Linked DNA regions of Macaca mulatta. The protein of the gene in region 1 purifies or fractionates together with the protein of each later gene. This does not show direct contact. Links are inferred from orthologs where the notes say so. Each region holds a gene or a part of one and is shown in the gene's direction. Other genes may lie near its edges.

What was found.
Region 2: the proteins of RHOD (region 1) and DIAPH2 purify together in Homo sapiens (co-immunoprecipitation; 3 studies listed by BioGRID and IntAct, with this or other methods). This does not show direct contact. The link is inferred for Macaca mulatta from reciprocal best matches to the Homo sapiens genes RHOD and DIAPH2.
Region 3: the proteins of RHOD (region 1) and DAAM1 purify together in Homo sapiens (affinity purification with mass spectrometry; 3 studies listed by BioGRID and IntAct, counting the BioPlex papers as one, with this or other methods). This does not show direct contact. The link is inferred for Macaca mulatta from reciprocal best matches to the Homo sapiens genes RHOD and DAAM1.
Region 4: the proteins of RHOD (region 1) and PLXNB2 purify together in Homo sapiens (affinity purification with mass spectrometry; 3 studies listed by BioGRID and IntAct, counting the BioPlex papers as one, with this or other methods). This does not show direct contact. The link is inferred for Macaca mulatta from reciprocal best matches to the Homo sapiens genes RHOD and PLXNB2.

What each region holds. Positions count from the first base shown.
Region 1 is NC_133419.1:7,349,176-7,354,896, reverse strand, and holds the start of RHOD (rho-related GTP-binding protein RhoD), read left to right. Parts: upstream 1-2,107; 5' UTR 2,108-3,832; coding exon 3,833-3,964; intron 3,965-4,321; coding exon of another isoform or gene 4,322-4,382; intron 4,383-5,721. UniProt on the Homo sapiens protein: Involved in endosome dynamics. May coordinate membrane transport with the function of the cytoskeleton. Involved in the internalization and trafficking of activated tyrosine kinase receptors such as PDGFRB.
Region 2 is NC_133426.1:103,641,800-103,647,553, forward strand, and holds the start of DIAPH2 (protein diaphanous homolog 2), read left to right. Parts: upstream 1-2,189; 5' UTR 2,190-2,406; coding exon 2,407-2,538; intron 2,539-5,754. UniProt on the Homo sapiens protein: Could be involved in oogenesis. Involved in the regulation of endosome dynamics.
Region 3 is NC_133412.1:132,442,330-132,447,507, forward strand, and holds part of DAAM1 (disheveled-associated activator of morphogenesis 1), read left to right. Parts: intron 1-518; coding exon 519-852; intron 853-1,464; coding exon 1,465-1,575; intron 1,576-1,687; coding exon 1,688-1,791; intron 1,792-3,003; coding exon 3,004-3,070; intron 3,071-3,292; coding exon 3,293-3,410; intron 3,411-3,840; coding exon 3,841-3,979; intron 3,980-4,264; coding exon 4,265-4,323; intron 4,324-5,178. UniProt on the Homo sapiens protein: Binds to disheveled (Dvl) and Rho, and mediates Wnt-induced Dvl-Rho complex formation. May play a role as a scaffolding protein to recruit Rho-GDP and Rho-GEF, thereby enhancing Rho-GTP formation. Can direct nucleation and elongation of new actin filaments.
Region 4 is NC_133415.1:1,170,758-1,175,306, forward strand, and holds the end of PLXNB2 (plexin-B2), read left to right. Parts: intron 1-177; coding exon 178-338; intron 339-507; coding exon 508-655; intron 656-1,326; coding exon 1,327-1,391; intron 1,392-1,527; coding exon 1,528-1,603; intron 1,604-2,512; coding exon 2,513-2,587; intron 2,588-2,660; coding exon 2,661-2,765; 3' UTR 2,766-3,497; downstream 3,498-4,549.

The sequences.
Region 1 (5,721 bases):
AGAATTGAACATACTTCATAGGATGGCATGAAATGACACTTGCCAAATGTCCGGCACAGGTAGGTGCTCAGTAAATGTGAGGTCAAGGCTTTGGGTGGAGGAGTTCAGGCTGAGGGCAAGGGCTCTTGGGATCCGATATTTCAGATGAAAGAAAGTGGGCCAAGGCTGGGCGCAGTGGCTCACATCTATAATCCCAGCACTTTGGGAGGCCAAGGCGAGTGGATCACCTGAGTTCAGGAGTTTGAGACCAGCCTGGCCAACATGGTGAAACCCCGTCTCTACTAAAAATACAAAAATTAACTGGGCGTGGTGGCAGGTGCCTCTAATCCCAGCTACTCGGGAGGCTAAGACAGGAGAATCGCTTGAACCTGGGAGGTGGAGGTTGCAGTGAGCTGAGATCGCGTCACTGCACTCCATCCTGGGCAAGACTCCATATGGGAAAAAAAAAAAAAAAAAAAAAAACATAAGGAAGAGAGCAGAGGACAGGAGATGCATGCAGAACTAAGGACTTCGGGAGCCACACACCAGGGCCCCGTGCACCCTGCCAAGCCACTCCAAGGGGAAAGACTGTATCTCTCCCCTTCACTCAGCCATCCACAAACATCCCACACACCCAAGTCCAGAACCCCAAGCAGGGAGGCAGCCCCTGGTGATGACTGCGCAGGGAGCTGAGCAACCACATGAGGGCAGTGGAGACGTGATCAGGACCGCACAGGATTTGGCCTTAGGATGGGGGTGGGCTGTGAGAAAATGGGGACAGGGGTGAGGCCAGGGGGCCTTGGAGTAGGCAGAGGCTGGAGAGTGGTCACCTGTCCACACATTCCCCATTCATGTCACATGTGGTATTCGTCATCAATGCAAGCATTTGTTCTTTTATTCATTTCTTCACTTTGTTTCTTCTTGTAAGTCAGCCCCTCTTCCGTCCATCCTTCCTTCTTTCCTTCCTCTCTTCCTCACTCTGCTCTTCTCCTCCTTGTCCTTTTGGTTTGTCTGGCCAGGCGATCAACTGGACATACCATCCTGAGCCACAGCTGGGTGCCAGCCCGAGAGAGGCACTCCTCTAGGGGGTACAAGTGAGCCTTGACTCTTGCCCTTGAAGGGTTCAGGGCAGCAGGCCACGGTGCTGGGCTCCCCACAGATCTGGGCCTGGGGTTGGTGGGGCCTAAAAGGGCCTAAGTCACCCACAGGTTGCAAGTCCTGAGAAGCCTCAGTAAACACTAAAAACAGTAAACAGTACCCTGGCCAGGCAGACTGTGTGACCTGGTCCACCACTCTAAAAATAAATTCCAGGAAAACAGTACAGTCCCAGGTCCACAAATGTCTGAGATTCAGGGACATTCCCTGCCGACTAGAGCCAATTTCTGTGGCCTGGTGACTAAGTTCCCTCTTGCAAGAGCGTAAGCATAGTGGGGGGTGGGGGGCTCAGGGGCGGTGAGGCTGGGGCAGATCGAATCCTGGCTGTGTCCTGCTGGCCTAAGACACCCCTCTGCCTCTCTCGGAGGTTCAGTTCCCAAATCTGTAAAATGAGGGGAAGCAGGTCATCTGCTTGGTTGACGTCATGGTCTGAGAGCTGAACAAAATTGCAATTGCACAGATGAGGTGTGATGGAGGGAGACAGCCTGGCTTTGGGGTCACACCTGGATCCAAATTCTAGTTCAGCCTCTTACTAGTTGTGGATCTTAGTCAACAACTTAGCCTCTCTGGGTCTCAGGCTCCTCATCTGTGAAATGGAGCTAAGAGTCCCTACCTCCTAGGGAACAGTGCCTACATGTGGCTTGCAATCCATTAATGGGTGCTGTTATTATTAGGAAATGTTCAGTGAAACTGTACAGCATGACAGACATCAAGTGTGTCATTACAGAGATTATCCCTATAGCAACCAAGGCCAAACGCCTCTGCCTGACTCTCGGCTCCCTCCACCCCCAGTCTGGCCCCACCTGCCTTCCAGCCTTGCCACCCAAGGCCTGATGACAACAGCAATGGGGAGGATGACGCTGACAGCTGATCCGAGGGGGTGGGGCCCCTCTCACCACTCCTTGGGGCGGGGAGCCCTGCTCAGGAGCTACCTGCCCAGCCCGGTGTCAAGTCACTGCCCAGCCCTATGGCAGTTTCGGGGAGGAAGGGGCACCTGGAAGGCAGAGCTGTCCTGGGGAGGCTCCTTCCCTCCAAGTGGGGCTCCATCCAGCCTGTGGACCACAGCCTGGAGCCAGGCAGAGGAGTTAAGGAGCTGGACTCTGCTTCTCCACGTAGTGACTCTTGCCCTGGCTGCCTCTTTAGACCACAGTAAGTTTAAAGGAGGTTGAAGGTGCATTTTCACGTGCCTGACTTGGAACTCCATAAGGGGTGATGTCATGACCAGCATAAATTGGGGGTAACCTAATGATGTCTGCCCCCTATTCTTTTAAGTTTCAGTATAAACACTCAGTTCAAGATCTGGGAAGACCCTTGTGCCCAATTTTTTTTTTTTTTTTTTTTGAGACGGAGTCTCACTCTGTCACCCAGGCTGGAGTGCAGTGGCCGGATCTCAGCTCACTGCAAGCTCCGCCTCCCGGGTTCACGCCATTCTCCTGCCTCAGCCTCCCGAGTAGCTGGGACTACAGGCGCTCGCCACCTCGCCCGGCTAGTTTTTTGTATTTTTTAGTAGAGACGGGGTTTCACCGGGTTAGCCAGGATGGTCTCGATCTCCTGACCTTGTGATCCGCCCATCTCGGCCTCCCAAAGCCTTGTGCCCATTTTTAAAAGATTTCAACTCTGGCCATTAGGAGAAGTGGAGGGATCAGGTGACAATGAGTTCCCAGTCCAATGCTGGATTTACTGCTGGCATCCAAAGTGCTCCACTGGGCAAGCACCAGCTCCTCTTGCTGCACCACTGTGCAAGGGAGACTCACCCTCTGCGGGGGCAGGGGGGCAGCATTCTGCTCCGGCCTCCACAGCCTCGCCCCTGCCGCTCTCTCCTGTGGAACACCTTCTCCCTCCCCCATCTGACTGTGTCTCACTTTTTCCTCAAGACTCTGAAGGGCTTCCTGACTCACTCAACCTGGGCGAGGAGCTCCTTTCCCCTACTCCTGTCCCGCTGCCTGTCCCTACCCCCGTTGTAGTTCTGATCACACTGATGTCCTGCCTGTCTACTATTCTAGGCTGTGGGCTTCTCAAGGCAGGGCCTAGATTTTATCTTGAACAGTTCAGGGTCCCCAGGCCCTTGGGCACCAGGAGGACGTCTCATGGTGCAATAATAAGAAACACACTTTATAGAGGGAAGGTTCCATCTCTTTCCCTAGATCGTGGCCAGCCAGGGTGTCAGGTGGCTGCCCACCTTCAGCAAAACTTCCTGGTGCTGGCGGAGGGAGGCAGGCCAGGCCTGGTAGGGCCAGTGAAGGGGGTCATCCGCTTCCCACCTGGCATGAAACGCCTGTGTTGTGCTCCGTCCTAAGCCCCCTGGGGAAATGCACCATTCATTCACTCATTCAGTAAAGGTCACTGGCTCCTGCCTGGGATCTGGGACCCAGCCCGTGAGCACACCCCCGCCCACACTGTCATGGTCCCGCTGTTTGTCTTCTCCCTTCCGACCTCCCATGGCCCCAGCGCGGCCCGCTCACAGTAGGTGTTCGGGCAGCGTTTCTTCAAGGACCTAGACGGCCTTGAGAGGAAGGGCCCCAGCCCAGCCGCCCGGGCGTCTCACCTGGCTCTCGGGGCGCCCGGCTCGCACTTCCTCCCGCCGCCCCGCCCCTTCCACATTCCTGCCCCGCCGGGCCTGCCCCGCCGGGCCGGCCCCGCGCAGTCTGGGTCCCTGCGCTGCAGCCGCCCGCCCGCCCTCTCCGCGCCCGACCCCGGGATGACGGCGGCCCAGGCCGCGGGCGAGGAGGCGCCACCAGGCGTGCGGTCGGTCAAGGTGGTCCTGGTGGGCGACGGCGGCTGCGGGAAGACGTCGCTGCTGATGGTCTTCGCCGATGGGGCCTTCCCCGAGGTGAGTGCCCGGCGTCTCCGCCTCGCCCGGTTCCGCTCCCGCGCCCGGGTGTGCAGGTCCGTGCCGGACGGCCCAGGCTGTGCGTCTGCCCCGGCCTCCGAGGGGTCTCCCAGCGGGGCCTGGAGTCCAGGGCAGAGTTCTTCTCCCCCAGCCAGTGGGAATGAAGGCCTCAGTGATGTTATCTGTAAAGCGGGAGGAATGGCACCTACCGGGGAGGGGTGTCACAAGGACCGAGTGAGGCGACCTGGGTGCACACAAGATCCTAAGACAGCACTTGGCCGCACAATTCCGCCAAGAGGGCCTGAGGGCTTGGGAGCCAGACTGCCTAGGTTAAAATTATGGCTTTGCCACTTACAGCTGTGTGCCCTTGCGAGCGTCCCCTAACCCCGCTGTGCCCGTGTCCCTAACTACATCACAGGTGAGTGACAGCGCCCACCGCACAGGGTCACTGTGACAGTGAGTTAATAGACGTCAAGCACTCAGCCCCGGGCTGCGCACAGGAAGTACTCACGGAGAGTTGGCACATGTCACTCTTGGGAAACATATTCTCCCCTCCAGCTCTTGCCGCTGGAATGCATGTGCCATGGGCTCTTCCTTGGAGGGTCAGAGCACACCAGCTGTAGCCTCAGCTGCTGGGACCGCGTCTCTGCTCTCCTCTTATGAGCCCCGTGCCCTTTTGTAACCTGCTTAGCTTCTCTGAGCCTCAGTTTCCTCACAACAACCCCATGGGGTAGAGGGACTGTAGGGCGGTGGTGAGGTGGAGCCCAGGGAAGGCTGATAGGTAGCTCCGGTGCGGTACCTGGCACGTCCTTGGCGCTGTAGGCATGCCCACTGTTAATCCTTCCTGACATGCTGACTGCCCAGGCAGACTCCACAGGCACCAGGTGGCCCCTGCTCTGCCACCTCTCAGCTCTGTTGTCCTGGGAGTCCATGGAGTTGCTCCCAGCATCTCTTTTTTTTTTTTTTTTTTTTTTTTGAGACAGAGTCTCACTGTCACCCAGGCTGGAGTGATATTGGCACAGTCTCGGCTCACTGCAACCTCCGCCTCTCCGGCTCAAGTGATTCTCTTGCCTCAGCCCCCTGAGAAGCTGGGATTGTAGGCACCCAACACCACGCCTGGCTAATTTTTTTTATTATTTTATTTTTGAGACGGAGTCTCGCTCTATCACCCAGGCTAGAGTGCAGTGGAGCAATCTCGACTCACTGCAACCTCCGCCTCCCAGGTTCAAGTGATTCTCCCACCTCAGCCTCCCGAGTAGCTGGGACTACAGGTGCGTGCTACCGTGCCCAGCTAATTTTTGTATTTTTTTTAGTAGAGACAGCATTTCACCATGTTGGCCAGAATGGTCTCCATCTCTTGACCTCGTGATCCGCCCACCTTGGCCTCCCAAAGTGCTGGGATTACAGGTGTGAGCCACCTCGCCTGGCCAATTTTTTTATTTTTAGTAGAGACGGGGTTTTGCCTTATTGATCAGGCTGGTCTCGAACTCCTGGCCTCAAGCGATCTGCCCGCCTCAGCCTCCCAAAGTGCTGGAAATACCAGCTTAAGCCACCGCAACTGGCATTCTTCCTTCTTTTCTTCCCAGCATCCTCAAAACCCCTGGGGTTGTACAGGTGCTGGGGCATCTGAGCACAAGCAGGACGGGTCGGGCCTACCCTGGTTCTTATCACACTGTAGTTCTTATCACGATGATGTCCTGCCTGTCTCCCACCCTTGGCTGTGACCCCCGGGCTGTATTGGGCCCCGCCATGGCTTT
Region 2 (5,754 bases), on another chromosome or scaffold:
AATGGTCTGTCTCTCCCAGTAGGCTCTGAAAGTTCTAAAAGGCAGAAACTGTGTCATCTTCATTCTTCTTACTCATGACACTCTGTATCTCCTAGTATACTCTAAGGAGTTGAAGAAATATCTGCTGGGCAGATTACTGAACGCTGTTTGCGCTTGGAGGGCCCTCAGCTATGGACCACACCTATGGCTCAAACAGGAATTACATGCAAGCATTGGCTAAACAGGTCACGTCTTTCTGAAGCATCCACTTTGACTCAATGTTTCAGGAGAAGAGACATTTATATAAATTGTGTTTGTGTGTGTGTGTATGTAGTGAGTTGAATTCAAAATATACACTAAATTTTAAGTAAAACGGAAACTTCAACAAAGCAAATTTACCATGTGGCTCCTTAACCACCCTGTTTGGGAGCATGTATTCCCTCTTCTCTGCTGTCCTTTGGTAGCTTGCCACCTTAGGAGTAGAGAAGTCACACCTCCATGGTTAAAAAGAAAGTTGGCCGGGCGAGGTTGCTCACATCTGTAATCCCAGCTCTTTGGGAGGCTGAGGCAGGCGGATCACCTGAGTTCAGGAGTTTGAGACCAGCCTGACCAACATGGAGAAACTCCGTCTCCACTAAAAATGCAGAATTAGCTGGGCATGGTGGCGGGTGCCTGTAATCCCAGCTACTTGGGAGGCTGAGGCAGGAGAATCGCTTGAAGCCGGGAGGCGGAGGTTGCGGTGAGCCAAGATTGCGCTGAGCCAAGATTGCGCCATTGCACTCAAGCCTGGGCAACAAGAGGGAAATTCTGTCTCAAAATTAAAAAAAAAAAAAAAAAAAAAAAAAGAAAGTTAATGACAATGACAAAGCTGGAATTAAAGCTGTTTTCAGATATCTGGTGTTCTTTTCATTCTACTGCCCAAGTTAGCTGTCTCTTCGCACCTGTAGCATGGTCAAATGCATCCTAATGCACTCTCAATAAATATGTTCAGATACAAATTCCATTCCGCATATTAAATTTAGGCTGAAGGGGAGAAGGTCAAAAGGAGTCATAGTCTGGAGATATCTTCAGTAATAGATGTATGGCATGTTTATAGATTTCATATTTAAATGTACTTTATAGGTAGCTTTCCTAGCATATGTGCTCCTATTCTATGATGGTGGTTAATTCAAATCTTACCCACCCCCTCTAATGCTCTCAGTGTGTACCTTTACTTTTAAAGGGTATCATTTAAAGATGATGGAAGAAATACAGTGTGGGTACTGTATTTTGTCCTGAGGACAAAATGCTAGGTATGACACAAGGACTTAAGACTATCGTCCCAATAGTGCCCTGCTACTGCTGCTGCTGCTGCTGCTGCACAAAAACACCTAGCATTTGTCTAGGGATTTTCATTTACAACCAAGCTTTGACACACATGATCTTATTCACTCCCCACAACAACTCTAAACTAGTTCAGGAAACTGAAAACAGCACTCAATTCAATTGCTAGCTGTATATAAGTGTTTTGGTTAAAGAGCCTAACAATCCCCTAGGGATTAAGTGGTGGGCGCCTGCTGCTTCAACAACCCTGCAGCATGGGAATAAAGGAACAACTGTATTTCTTCGGTCACAACGTAATCACGGCAACAGAAAGCACCCACTCTTCCCACTCTGACCCACACAGTCTGTCGAGGCAATTAATCAGTACTCCCGGTGGTTTTCCTATAGGATGCCAGTTCCCTTGCCAATCAAGTCTTTCCACAGAGTGTAGCAGGACCACACCCCCGAGAGGCCTCAGGGAGGGAAGGTGCTCTGGCCCACAGAAGTGAAAGCTGATACTCTGGTTGACCCTCCAGTGAAACTTACAGGCGGATCCTCCCGGGCCTCAGTTTCCCCATCTCTAAAATGGGCTACCCTTCCTTTCTCTTGACTAGTTCCCGCCCTGTTCTCGCTGGGCCACTAGGAAGTGAAATCAGTGCCTAACCGCAGCTGAAAGTCCTCTGTTAGGCTCCAGTCGTCGCGCCGGGCATGCTCAGTAGCTGGGGCCGGCTCCGCTCCGGGAGTAGGAAGCAGCTTTGCGGGCCCGGGCGGCCGATGCGGGCACTTTGAAGAATCACGTGTGTTGAGGCCCTCTTAAAGAGATAGGCACCTACTTTTCCCTCCACCCTAAACACCGCCCTGAGGGCGGCGGCGACCGTGGTAATTGCAACTGCTCAGGGGCAGGGCTTGCCCCAGCGCCGAGTAGTGGCAACGGCGTGGTTGCGTCGGGGGTGCCTGGGAGCTTGGAGTCCCGGGGGCCTGAAATCGGCAGCTTCCCGGGCAGACACTCTCTCCTTCAGGAAGAGGTGCCGCCGAGTCAGCGCGGGGCAGTGTGAGCGCCCCGAGGTGCTTTCTCAGTTGAGGAGAGGTGGGGTTACAGGGCACAGGTGACAGGGCCGGAGAAAGATGGAGCAGCCCGGGGCGGCGGCGTCGGGAGCGGGAGGCGGCAGCGAGGAACCTGGTGGGGGCCGGAGCAACAAGCGGAGCGCGGGGAACCGGGCCGCCAATGAAGAGGAAACGAAAAACAAACCCAAATTGGTGAGTGCTCCCGCAGCCCCCGCCGGCCTTAGGGACAGGGAGAGCCCCGGGATCCTCCTGCCATTGAACACGGGGGCACCCGGGGCCCCCTCCCAAGGATGACCGCGATCTCGCTGTGCAACTCGGGGAGCCGCTAAAGGAGTGGCCACGCCGAGGCGCGGAGACGGCGTGGGGGCGGAAGAGCACCCCTTCTCTACTTAACCCCTTTCTCACTGTAGTCAGCCCGGGAGGCGGTGCGGGAAGGAGAAAGGCCCAGCCCCAACTTGGGGACACCCCGAGTACTGGGTAGGGCTGTTGTTTGTCTAACTTGTGGGCGCAAGCCTTTGCGCGATTCCATTCTCCTCCCACCTCTTGTCAGTTGCTGTTTTGCCTCCTAACGCGTAGGGTCTGGGGCAGGGGAACCTCCCTCCTTTTTATTCCAAGTCCTTGGGAGCCCACCTACAGCTATGCAAATCAAGAAGAGCACTATTTATGCTCCCAGTCTTTCTACTTTACCAGAAATCTCAGGAAGAGGCGCCTACGTGCCTTTTTCCTCCTCCTCGCCTCTCTCCATGTGCTCTCCCAAGAAACGTTTCTTTGGAAGGGTGGGGGCGCGTGGGAGTTGAAGGCTGAGTGAGGTACCACCAACTGTCGAGTGTGTGTAATAGGCATAGTCGTACAGTACTTCCACTTAGTTGATTAAGAACGCTCAAAAGCAGTAGGCACAAACTGTGCAAATCTCACTGTGCTGATAGTGTGAACCGGTGGTAGCAGTCCATTTCCTGCCACTGAAATGTGCAGAGGAATGAAATCGATGAGGCCTGGTATTGCATTGGGAAATACTGGAGTTTCCTCAACTCCTCAGAAAGGTTCCGCTTTTTGTAAACTTTCTAATTTGGGTGGTGTGAGGGGAAAGGGTTTTCCTGTACAAATTCAGCAGATACTCCTTATAGCTGTATTCTTAGTCCAGATCTGAAGCACAAGCCACATGTTGAATGTATAGATTTCAGCTTTAACTACCAACTTGATTGTAATAGACAAGGAGAGGGTGACATATAAATAAAGCCGTTTCTTGTGGCATCTGGCCATTTGGTTTGGATCCAGTACAAAACTGTGGCTTAATCAGTGATTAAAAATTTAAGTAAAAAGTTAACTGATACTTTCCACAAATGGTTTGGTACCTCTAGCAAGAATCTGCACTTTTAAAACAAGTATGCTTTCGAGAAAAGAAAAAAAAAACAAAACACTTATCTCTGTTAGTAGTAACACCTTGATTGTATTCTTCTCTTCCCTTTAGCCATTTGTCCTGTTTCATCTTTTATGTTTTACTTGCTTTGACAAGGTAACTAGATAGTTATGAGATTGTATCATTTTCAGTTCCTAGCTAACTTCACTGTTCCGTGTTGAACATAGCTTGATACGGTAGAACAAGTATTTGAATCCAAGAGTTTGTTAATATTGACACGAATTTTCTTTTTTTGCTCGAACGTAACTTTTGAGCCTTATGTGATTTTACAAGCAGATGTGTCAGAGTTAACAAAAACAAATTTAGGAAGACATTGTGGCACATTTTAAGGCAAGCAAGTTGACCAAACAGTAAGATTTAGTAAGCTTTTCAGGAAAGAATTCATCTGGGACTCTTAGAAGTTTGCTAGTAAGATAAAACTTTACTTAGATGAAATTTTATTATTTTGAGTATTATGTTAATAATCTCTGAACTAGTCCTTAATTTGCGTGTGTATATGAGTGTAAAGGAGTTGTGGTGTGGGATTATAAAAGAGAGCCATATGGTGATAGAAATTATTTGTGTAGGTGATCTTGGGGGATAGAGGTTCTTAAACTCCTGAAATTGTATGAAAATATTTGAGTGTATATGGGTACATTTATTTTTCTGGGCCCCATAGCTTTCATCAGTTTTTCAAAGGTATCCATTACCTATGGAAGAGTAAGAACTATAGCATTACAAAAGATAGAAAGTAAAGGACAGTTGATTCCACTGTGTGGTCAAGGGAAATGGCATTGAACACATAGGTGATTGATATTGAAACAGATTCTTGTGGTGGTAAAAAAGAAGTTAACTACTCAATGTCTACATAGCTTAGATTAAAATTTCCACTACAGAGGAAAATTAATTCAGTCGCTCTAGTATAATGGATTCCTAAGGTATAAGGCTTATGTAGTCTGGTTGTTTTCATTTAGCTCCTCAGAAATCTGGAGAAACGGAAATGGAACGCATATTTTCTTTTCTTCTTCTTCTTCTTTTTTTTTTTTTGAGACGAAGTCTCGCTCTGTCGACATGGCTGGAGTCCAGTGGCGCGATCTTGGCTCACTGCAACTTCTGCCTCCCAGGTTCAAGCGATTCTCCTGCCTCAGCCTCCTAAGTAGCTGGGATTACAGGCACGTACCACCCCACCCGGCTAATTTTTGTATTTTTAGTAGAGATGGGATTTCACCATGTTGGTCAGGCTGCAAAGCATATTTTCTATGGAGAGGAACTGCTTTCATTTATATCCTCAACTTTTTAATGAGTATTAGTGAGAACTTTTGCAGAGTGGCATTTCAACATTATAATGATTTCTATTTAAGATTACTTAAATAAAAATTTAATGAAATTCACTTCAGTTTTCTTCATATAAGCATCCTCATAATGACCCTTTCATTTTGATTCTTTTAAAATAAGGCATTCCTGTCTTGGACTCATCACATTTTGAATAATGCATTAGTAGTAGAGTTTTGGATTTTATGTAACTATTTTGGTTAGGCCCAGATTGCAACATGTCATCAAACAGCATGAATCTTAGATTAATTTGTAATTTGATGTCAACCATGGAATGCATTTTGTTAAATTGAGTAGAAGAGAAAGCTCTGTAAGTGTTATGAAGGAACTACATCTTGAATCCCACTTATTTAAGGCAGTGACTTAACCATTAAGAGAGGCCAATATTGATGCATAACACTGCACCCCCCATACCACACGGTAGCGTAGAGTGACCTAACAGTATTTGATGTTTTTGCATTTTTGACTTTGTATTTCTGCGTAACTTCTGAAGCCTTTGGTTCTTCAAACAGTAAAGTCAAATTTGTTAATTTTTCTGGTTATTATGTAACTTCCTGAGTATTTGGTTCTTTGTTTACAACTGGATAAATTATGTTTTTATTTATTTATTTATTTATTTTGAGATGGAGTCTCGCTCTGTTGCCCAGGCTGGAGTGTGGTGGTGTGATCTCAGCTCACTG
Region 3 (5,178 bases), on another chromosome or scaffold:
ATAACAGAGCAAGACCCTGTCTCTCTTAAAAAAAAAAAAAAAAAAAAAAAAAAAGGATGGGGGGAGGGGGCATGAGAACTGTGTACTAAATAACACAGGAGCAGCAGATGATTTTAATCTAAGACAAGATATGTTTTCTGAGTATTCTCTTGCTTCTGATTTTTTTTTTTTTTTTGAGGCGGAGTCTCGCTCTGTCACCCAGGCTGAAGTGCAGTGGCGCGATCTCGGCTCACTGCATTGCTTCTGATTTTTTATGAATATACGATCTGTTGTTTGGTTCTTTGTATCCATTGAGATATGTTTATCACAAATGGAGGGGGTTTTTTTTCACACTTTTGGTTAGACCTGACCATTGGGTCTGTGCCAAGGAAGAGGCATAGAATTAAAAAGGCTTCATCAATGTAGGGCTTTTGGCACGTTAGGAACTAAATCTTTCCCCCACCCTCCAGACTTTTCTATTAGGGGCTATTATAAAACCCCAAAGGCACTTAAGTGTGGTGCGCTTCTCTTCATGACAGGTTTGTAACCAGATTCATCGACTTGGATGGCCTGTCGTGTATCCTCAACTTTCTAAAGACCATGGACTATGAGACCTCAGAGTCTCGAATACATACTTCTCTCATTGGCTGTATAAAGGCGTTAATGAACAACTCTCAAGGCCGGGCTCATGTCCTGGCTCATTCTGAGAGTATTAATGTAATTGCTCAGAGTCTGAGCACAGAGAACATTAAAACAAAGGTGGCCGTGCTGGAAATCTTGGGCGCCGTGTGCCTGGTTCCCGGGGGCCACAAGAAGGTTCTGCAGGCCATGCTGCACTACCAGAAGTATGCCAGCGAAAGGACCCGCTTTCAGGTGGGTGTTCCCTTAGCCTTCTTCACTCACCCCTTCTTTAAAGTCTGCTCAAACACGTGCTTTTCCTGTCCCTGAAGGGGGAACATTACTTGAGATGTCCCCTTGTGGTGATTACTCACAGTGTGATTTAAACATTCCCTTCTTCTTAGGTTTAAGAACCAGAGAATAGAGTATACTTTCAATAGTTGATCAATCTGGGCCTTTAGATTTGCAGAACTTGAAAATGTGGCCTTTCATCCTACATGTCATACAGCACACATCTTTTGAACCCACCAAACTGAGTGTTTCCTGAAAATTTTATAGCTTGCCATTCTTGAATTAGGATCAATATGAATAATTTTTCATATTTCACTATATTACTCAGATGTAAAAAGCAAGCAGAGGTAATGAAGCAAAGGCTTTTGTATACGTGTATGTATGATGTAATAATTTTGAAATTAGAGTTTTTAGGACTCTTCTTAAGGAGAAAAAGGGTGGCTTTCTATGGGTCAGTGTAATCCTGACTAAACATAAGATTTTAAAAGTTAATTTTTGTGTATAAAAAAGTTCATAAAATGAGCATAAGGTTAGTAATGTTTCAGGCCTTTGTTTTTATATTTGTATTTTTGATAGACATTAATTAACGACTTGGATAAAAGCACTGGGCGGTATCGAGATGAAGTGAGTCTCAAGACTGCCATCATGTCCTTCATTAATGCAGTGCTCAGCCAAGGTGCAGGAGTGGTAAGAACCTTCCACAAATTAAAAATATATTAGTAAAGAATAATTTATAAAAAGTGATTATTATGTAGTCTAAAAACCACAAATACATATTTTATTGCCCTTTTATTTTCAGGAGAGTTTGGACTTTAGACTTCATCTTCGCTATGAATTTCTGATGTTAGGAATTCAACCTGTAATAGATAAATTAAGGGAACACGAAAATTCAACATTAGATAGGTAAGTCAGACTGTTAAGATGTGAGAAAGTTTCGGTGTTTTCTATCTGTGTAATGCAGTGCCTCATCAAGTGCTGGCCTGTGGTTACTTGTGCCCTGTCTGTAACATAAAGAGCTTGTATCAGAATGTTAGTTCAGCTAATGACGTCTTTATAGTAAGACTTTGTTGATGAGGGAAGCAGCACATTATGTAGAGAACTTAATGTGGGTTTTAGCGTTAGACCTGAATTCATATCCTATCCTAGTCCTGCCTCTTACTCCTGTGTATCCTGGTGAAGTTACTCAATTTTTCTGAATTTTGCTGTTCTTATAACTGCAAAAAAATAGTGCTGGTGGTGATGATGATAATGACAATTATTTTCCAAGTCTGTTGTAAGAACTGACTATAAAACCTATGGAATCACTTAGCCCCTTTGATAGGCATTCTGTGAATGTTAATTTCCACTACCTTGTTCGCTTGTTTCCTTGTTTGCTATCATTTCACTATGTCTAAGCTATCCCAACTTGCTTTCAGAGCTTTTCTCTACCACGTCTCTCCTCTCCTGTATATTCATATACTCCAGCATGCTCTTCTCCTTGATATTCTGTGAACATGTCAAAAACACTCTTGCATCAGGGCCTTTGCACTTGCTATTTCCTCAGCTTCGAAAGATCTTTTGCAGATGTCCAAATTGTTTGTTCCCTAGTTCCCTGGAGAGAGACCTGTTCTAACCACTGTGTGTACATTATTCACCTCACCTGCCATCATTTTCTATTTACTTTACATAAAATGTATCCTGGGTGTGTAGAATACATAGTAGGAGTTCACTAAATACGTGACTGAATAAATGAATGGCACGATCATTTCTTTTGTGAGCTTTAATTCAGCTGGAAGTTAAGTATAGGTATATGGGCATGTTTTTCTATAAAGGGAATCCATAGTGGAATCTGAACTTGATTGCTTTTAAATTTAGTTTTAATTTAATAATTGCCTACTATATGCTAGGCATCCTAGACTTTTAAATTTTTCTCATATTGTGATCTGTTTCACTCAGGTGATGTCTTTTTTTCTTAGAAAGAACGTAGTTAAGTTGAAGCATTCAAATTTTATTACATTGTTTCTTTTGAGATATCTCTGAAAAGTCAGGAAAAACCATGGTATTAATGTCCTCGGTCTTATGCACCTGTGTTTGTAGGATGTTCTACTTAATAATTTTTCTTTCATTATTTTTCAGGCATTTAGACTTTTTTGAAATGCTCCGAAATGAAGATGAACTAGAATTTGCCAAAAGATTTGAACTGGTTCGTATGCTTACAATTATTCTGGTTTGACTCATCAGTTCACATTATTTCTCTTTGTGTGTTGTAGAGTCCACATGGACCAATTCTGCCTAAAAGCAAAATCAAAGCTCTGTTTTGTTTCCTAAGTGGCAGGATTAGCTTCTGTTTGCTTTGAGTTTACTTTACACTGGGGGAATTGAGGAACTTAGATGTTTGATTTGATTTCTTTTTCCTATAAAATAGGTTCACATAGACACAAAAAGTGCAACTCAGATGTTTGAGCTGACCAGGAAGAGGCTGACACATAGTGAAGCTTACCCACATTTCATGTCCATCCTGCACCACTGCCTCCAAATGCCTTGTAAGTGTGTTTGTGACTCATGTGTGCTTCTGAATGTTTGGACATTGGCCAAAGGGTTCTGGCTCCTGCACAGTGCTGATTACATTGGATGCACACCAGGGATTCCAAGCCTTGGTTTTATGACAGCCCAGTATGTGTGTCTACATGGCTTAAGGGTTGTTACAAAATTTTTTCAATGAAACAAATTAAAATTTTGATTTTAAAAATAAAAAGTATGCCTTACAATCTGTTTAGAAAGGGGTTGAGGGTGCCTCTCAATCAAATAAATGATCATTGCATGTCAAAATTCCATACTTTGGGAAGCATTGGTGCAGATGTTACAAACATCTCTCTGGTTCGGTGGCTCTAAAGGGTGACCAGCACTGACAAATATTTGTCCTAGCTTAGAAACAACTTGAAGATTTTTTTTCACTCTTCTTTTCTTTTTTAGACAAGAGGAGTGGCAACACTGTTCAGTACTGGTTACTACTAGATAGAATTATACAGCAGATAGTTATCCAGAATGACAAAGGACAGGACCCTGACTCCACACCTTTGGAAAACTTTAATATTAAGAATGTCGTACGAATGTAAGTCTTCTCTTATTCTGCTGCCTGTGAGATAATAGTGACAATGTAAGATATTTATTTTATCCAACTTCAGAGTAACAGCTGGGAGAGCCGAAATGTTCTAGGGGTCAAATATGAGTTACTATACACCTGCACTATATCTAAGTAACATCTGGTCTTAAATGGGTTTCAAGCATGCACTGAGGATTTTCTCTGCAGTAGACTATTTTTGTACCTAGGGAGAATGCAGTTAGCAGTGGACCTTTTATATTTTTTGTAATAAATGCTCCTTGAACTCTTATACAGGTTGGTTAATGAAAACGAAGTTAAGCAGTGGAAAGAACAAGCGGAAAAAATGAGAAAAGGTAAATAATAAGGGCCTGATAAGAGAAGAGGCTGTGTTATTGGTTATTGGGTGACCTTGATTTCCAGATATTTTGAAAATTTACATTGATGTTTCTTGACTTGGTGCAAGCAGCCTTTCTTTTTCCATCTTTTAAGGGAATTTTGCACTGGGCTTCTTAAATTGAGCTATTTTAGTTGTCATACTGATTCTCAAATATCTTATCCTTTTATTATAATCATGTAAATATTTTGAAAAGCTTATAGCATTTGCTGTTCAGTATTCCTTAAATCAAATTTTCTTAACTACTAGTAATCCAAACCTTTCCCCTACTCCGTCGTGGCTCTTTAAATCATACTGGGTTTTAAGAAATGTAATAAGGGACTTGAGGGATTATCCAAAATTTTAAAAGAGAAGAACAGGTCACTTGGTTTCAGTAATCCAATTCTGTCCATGACCTTGATTTGGTACCAGTTATAAAAAGGGAAGTCATTCAGAAAATCAGTGACCATTGCTGAGATATGTGTTATGAAACATTAGCTGGCCAGCTATTAGTGTGTATTTGAGTATGTCTTTGATATTATCTCTCAGTATCAAATGATAGGAGAGACATTTATGTCCATCAGTGTGCCAGCCATACAGAGAAATGTATGTAATTTTCCTTCCTGTTTTAAAATATTAGCAAATTGAAGTTGGCGCCTTTGTGGAAACAGTCATACTGCCAGCCACCATGCTCTCACCATACTGGTTAACTGACTTCCTTTTCCTTTTCCAAGTTATTCACTCACAGCCAATGAAATACAATAGCGTTCACCCCAATATTTAATGTGCTGAAAAGCAGGTCCAAGAGATGCCTAAGCATTTCCTTTTCTGTCAT
Region 4 (4,549 bases), on another chromosome or scaffold:
ACGCTGAGACCCTCCCCCCCACGGCGCCACGCTGAGACCCTCCCCCCCACGGCGCCACGCTGAGACCCTCCCCCCCACGGCGCCACGCTGAGACCCTCCTCCCCCACGGCACCACTCTGAGACCCTCCCCCCCAGGGGCCGCGCCCACGGTGCCACGCTGAGACCCTACCCCCACAGGGCACACTGCAGCAGTTTGTGGACAACTTCTTCCAGAGCGTGCTGGCGCCCGGGCACGCGGTGCCACCCGCAGTCAAGTACTTCTTCGACTTCCTGGACGAGCAGGCGGAGAAGCACAACATCCAGGATGAGGACACCATCCACATCTGGAAGACAAACAGGTGAGGCTCTGCACCCCCCGCAGCCGAGCCCAGCTCCGCTACTTCTCACCCTTGGGAGGCTCCGCACCCCCCCCCCCGCAGCCGAGCCCAGCTCCGCTACTTCTCACTCTTGGGAGGCTCCGCACCCCCCAGGCCCAGCCCCGCTCTCATTCCCGCCGCTCTGCCTCAGCTTACCGCTCCGGTTCTGGGTGAACATCCTCAAGAACCCCCACTTCATCTTCGACGTGCACGTCCACGAGGTGGTGGACGCCTCGCTGTCAGTCATCGCCCAGACCTTCATGGACGCCTGCACGCGCACGGAGCATAAGCTGAGCCGCGTGAGTGGGGTGGGGACAGGTCGGGGCAGGGAGGCCTGGGTCTGCCCCAGGAGCATCTTGTGAGCTGGGAGCTTGTCTGGGGTGTGGATTTGCACATCTTGGGCTGGAGCCCTTGATGAGGGGGTGGCGCGTGGCCGAGGCTGGGGGCACAGGCGCCCAGCAGAGCCTGGGAGATCCCGAGACCACTTGCCCTCTCCCACAGTACCCAAGCAGAGAAACTGAGTTTTACTACAGATCACAAAATAAGTAGTTGTTTTGGTTTGTTTTTTATTTTGAAACAGAGTTTTGCTCTGTTGCCCAGGCTGGAGTGCAGTGGCGCGATCTGGGCTCACTGCAACCTCCGCCTCCTGGGTTCGAGCGATTCTCCTGCCGCAGCCTCCCGAGTAGCTGGGATTACGGGTGCCCACCACCACACCCGGCTAATTTTTGTATTTTTAGTGGAGACGGGGTTTCACCATGTTGGGCAGGCTGGTCTTGAACCCCTGACCTCAGGTGATCTGCCCGCCTCAGCCTCCTAAAGTGTTAGGATTACAGGCATGAGCCACTGTGCCCGGCCTATACTTTTCTTGATGAAAGTGTCAGTTCAGGGCAGGGGAGGCTACCCAGGGGGACTCTGAGCGGCCCCAGCCTGGGCCCCTTGGCCAGGCATCACTGGGTTTTCTCCCCGACAGGACTCTCCCAGCAACAAGCTGCTGTATGCCAAGGAGATCTCCACCTACAAGAAGATGGTGGAGGAGTAAGTGCTGCCCGCCCTCCAGGCCAGGCCCCCGTGCCCACCCTCGACCCCCTGCGGGGAGGTTCAGGCCTTGGTTTCTCCCACCACCCCCTTTGTGTCCCCCGCTGCCCACACTGTGATGCTCCCACCCCTGCAGTTACTACAAGGGCATCCGGCAGATGGTGCAGGTCAGCGACCAGGACATGAACACACACCTGGCAGAGATTTCCCGGGTAAGGAGGCCACCAGGGACGCACCCACGGCCGTCCCCTGCTCCTGGCTCCTACTAACCTGTGCTGAGCCTGGCCCTGAGCTGCAGGGCAGGGGTTAAATGGTGTTGAGGGGGAGAGAGGGTGGGGTGGGACCTCGAGGTGGGCCCAGCCATGTGAATTGAGCGTGCTGTGTGTGGGGAGTGTGAGCTGTTTGAAGCCAGGCCATGCCCACAGCACCCCCTCCCTGTGGCTCAACCCACGGCCATGCCCACAGCACCCCCTCCCTGTGGCTCCACCCACAGCCATGCCCACAGCACCCCCTCCCTGTGGCTCCACCCACAGCCATGCCCACAGTGCCCCCTCCCTGTGACTCCACCCACAGCCATGCCCACAGCGCCCCCTCCCTGTGGGTCCACCCACAGCCATGCCCACAGTGCCTCTCCCTGTGGGTCCACCCACAGCCCTGCCCACAGCGCCCCCTCCCTGTGGCTCAACCCACGGCCATGCCCACAGCGCCCCCTCCCTGTGGGTCCATCCACAGCTGTGCCCACAGCGCCCCCTCCCTGTGGCTCCACCACCCACAGCCGTGCCCACAGCGCCCCCTCCCTGTGGCTCCACCACCCACAGCCGTGCCCACAGCGCCCCCTCCCTGTGGGTCCATCCACAGCCATGCCCACAGCGCCCCCTCCCTGTGACTCCACCCACAGCCGTGCATCACACAAGAAGACACTGAGATGGTTGTGTGTGCAGGATTCTGTCTGTGTGGGTGTCTAAGGCCACGCCACATGGGGGGCCCTAAGTGCTGCCTGTGCCCAAGGCCCCAGCTGCTGCCCCGGGGAGGCCTCTTGTCCTGGGCGTCCTGCACTACCCCTGCCAGCCCTGGGGCTCCCACAGCCCCTTTTCTGCCCTGACCGTCCCGTCACCCCGCAGGCACACACGGACTCCCTAAACACCCTCGTGGCACTACACCAGCTCTACCAATACACACAGAAGTACTATGACGAGGTAGGGTCAGGCCCCTGGGGGCGGGGGGGGGCCGGGCGATCCCCCAATGTGCTCTGATGGGACTCTCCCTCAGATCATCAATGCCTTGGAGGAGGACCCCGCCGCCCAGAAGATGCAGCTGGCCTTCCGCCTGCAGCAGATTGCGGCTGCGCTGGAGAACAAGGTCACTGACCTCTGACCTCCAATCTCCAGTGCTGCCTTGGGGCATAGGTACCCAAGGTACCTGAGAGCCCCTCAGGGGAGGAGGCCAAGTGGCTGTGGCTGAGGCCCCCACCCTCCCCCGGAGAACGCGCCCCATGCGGGAGTGGGTGCAGCAGGAACCCACCCAACGTCTAGACTGTAGCATCTTCCTCTGAGCAATACCGCTTGGGCGCTGCACCAGCACCAGCACCAGCCCCGGCCCCAGCCCCAGCTCCCTCCGGCGGCAGAACCAGCATCGGGTGTTCACTGTCGAGTCTCGAGTGATTTGAAAATGTGCCTTACGCTGCCACGCTGGGGGCAGCTGGCCTCCGCCTCCGCCCACGCACCAGCAGCCGCCTCCATGCCCCTGGGTTGGGCCCCTGGGGATCTGAGGGCCTGTGGCCCCCAGGGCAAGCTCCCAGATCCTGCGTCCGTCTGTCCACCTCGGGATGGGAGGAGGAGAAAAAGCGGTACGATGCCTTGCTGACCTCACCGGCCTCCCAAGGGTGCCGGCACTCTGGGTGGACTCGGCTGCTGGGCCCCACGTCAAAGGTCGAGTCGTAGGTCAAGTCCAGCATCGGGGCCCAGACATCCTGGGGTCCTGGTCTGTCAGACAGGCTGCCCTAGAGCCCCACCCAGTCCAGTGGGACTGGGAGCAGTTCCACCAAGACCACCCTACCCCTTTTTGTAAATCTTGTTCATTGTAAATCAAATACAGTCGTCTTTTTCACTCTGTGGGTTGGCTGAGTTCCTACTGGGGCTGCGGTGCCCCTGTTCACCACCCCTTCCCTGGGCTCTGTGGGCCCTGCTGGGAGGGGAGCTGCGGTGAGGTGGAGGGGGCTGGAAGGGGTGCTCGTGTGAGGTGAAGGGGGCTGGGAGGGGTGCTAGGGGGAGGTGGAGGGGGCTAATAGGGGTGCTTGGGGGAGGTGGGGGGTGCTGGAAGGTAGGACTGCTTCTGGTGCCATCTGGTGGCTTCCATGGCCTCCTGCTTCTTTCATGCAACACATTCTTACCAAATGGCCACTGCACACCACGCATGCACTGTCTTGAGCGTTAGGAACAGCAACAACCACGACAGGCAGGGCTCGGAGCCTCCCCTGTGCACCAAGAATACAGACAGCCCAGGCAGAGGGGCATTCAGTGCTCCAGACACAAAGTGAAGGCCCAGCTTCAGATGTGGCTGGATCTAGGCACACATCCTGAGGTTCTGCTGGTCTGGATTGCTGACCCACTCACGAGGATCCGTTCTCAGGCAGCCCCAGCCTGTCTCCCCGACTGGGGCACATCAAGGCCAGGGTCTCTTGATGGGCAAGGCCTCCACTGCTCGAGTCCCCTTTGGACTGGGGCACCTCCATTCAAGCCACGATGAAAAACGGGTGGCCTTCTCTCCCCCACAGGAGAAAGGGGTACAAGGCAAACTGACATCCCCTGCTCTAGGGACCCCTGAAATGACATTGGGTTCCTCCCTTCCCAGAGACATGGCTGGTCAGAAGATCAGAGCAAGGGGGTGGACCGAAGTCTGAAGTGCTGAGTGGCAGGTCTCAGGTAGTGAGCTGGGAACCTGGAGGCCTGGCTTCCGTACTCGACCCCTGCAGACCATCGTGCAGGGGGCTGGGGACCTGGAGGCCTGGCTTCCGTACTAGACCCCTGCAGACCATCGTGCAGGGGGCTGGGAACCTGGAGGCCTGGCTTCCGTACTCGACCCCTGCAGACCATCGTGCAGGGGGCTGGGGACCTGGAGGCCTGGCTTCTGTACTAGACCCCTGCAGACCATCGTGCAGG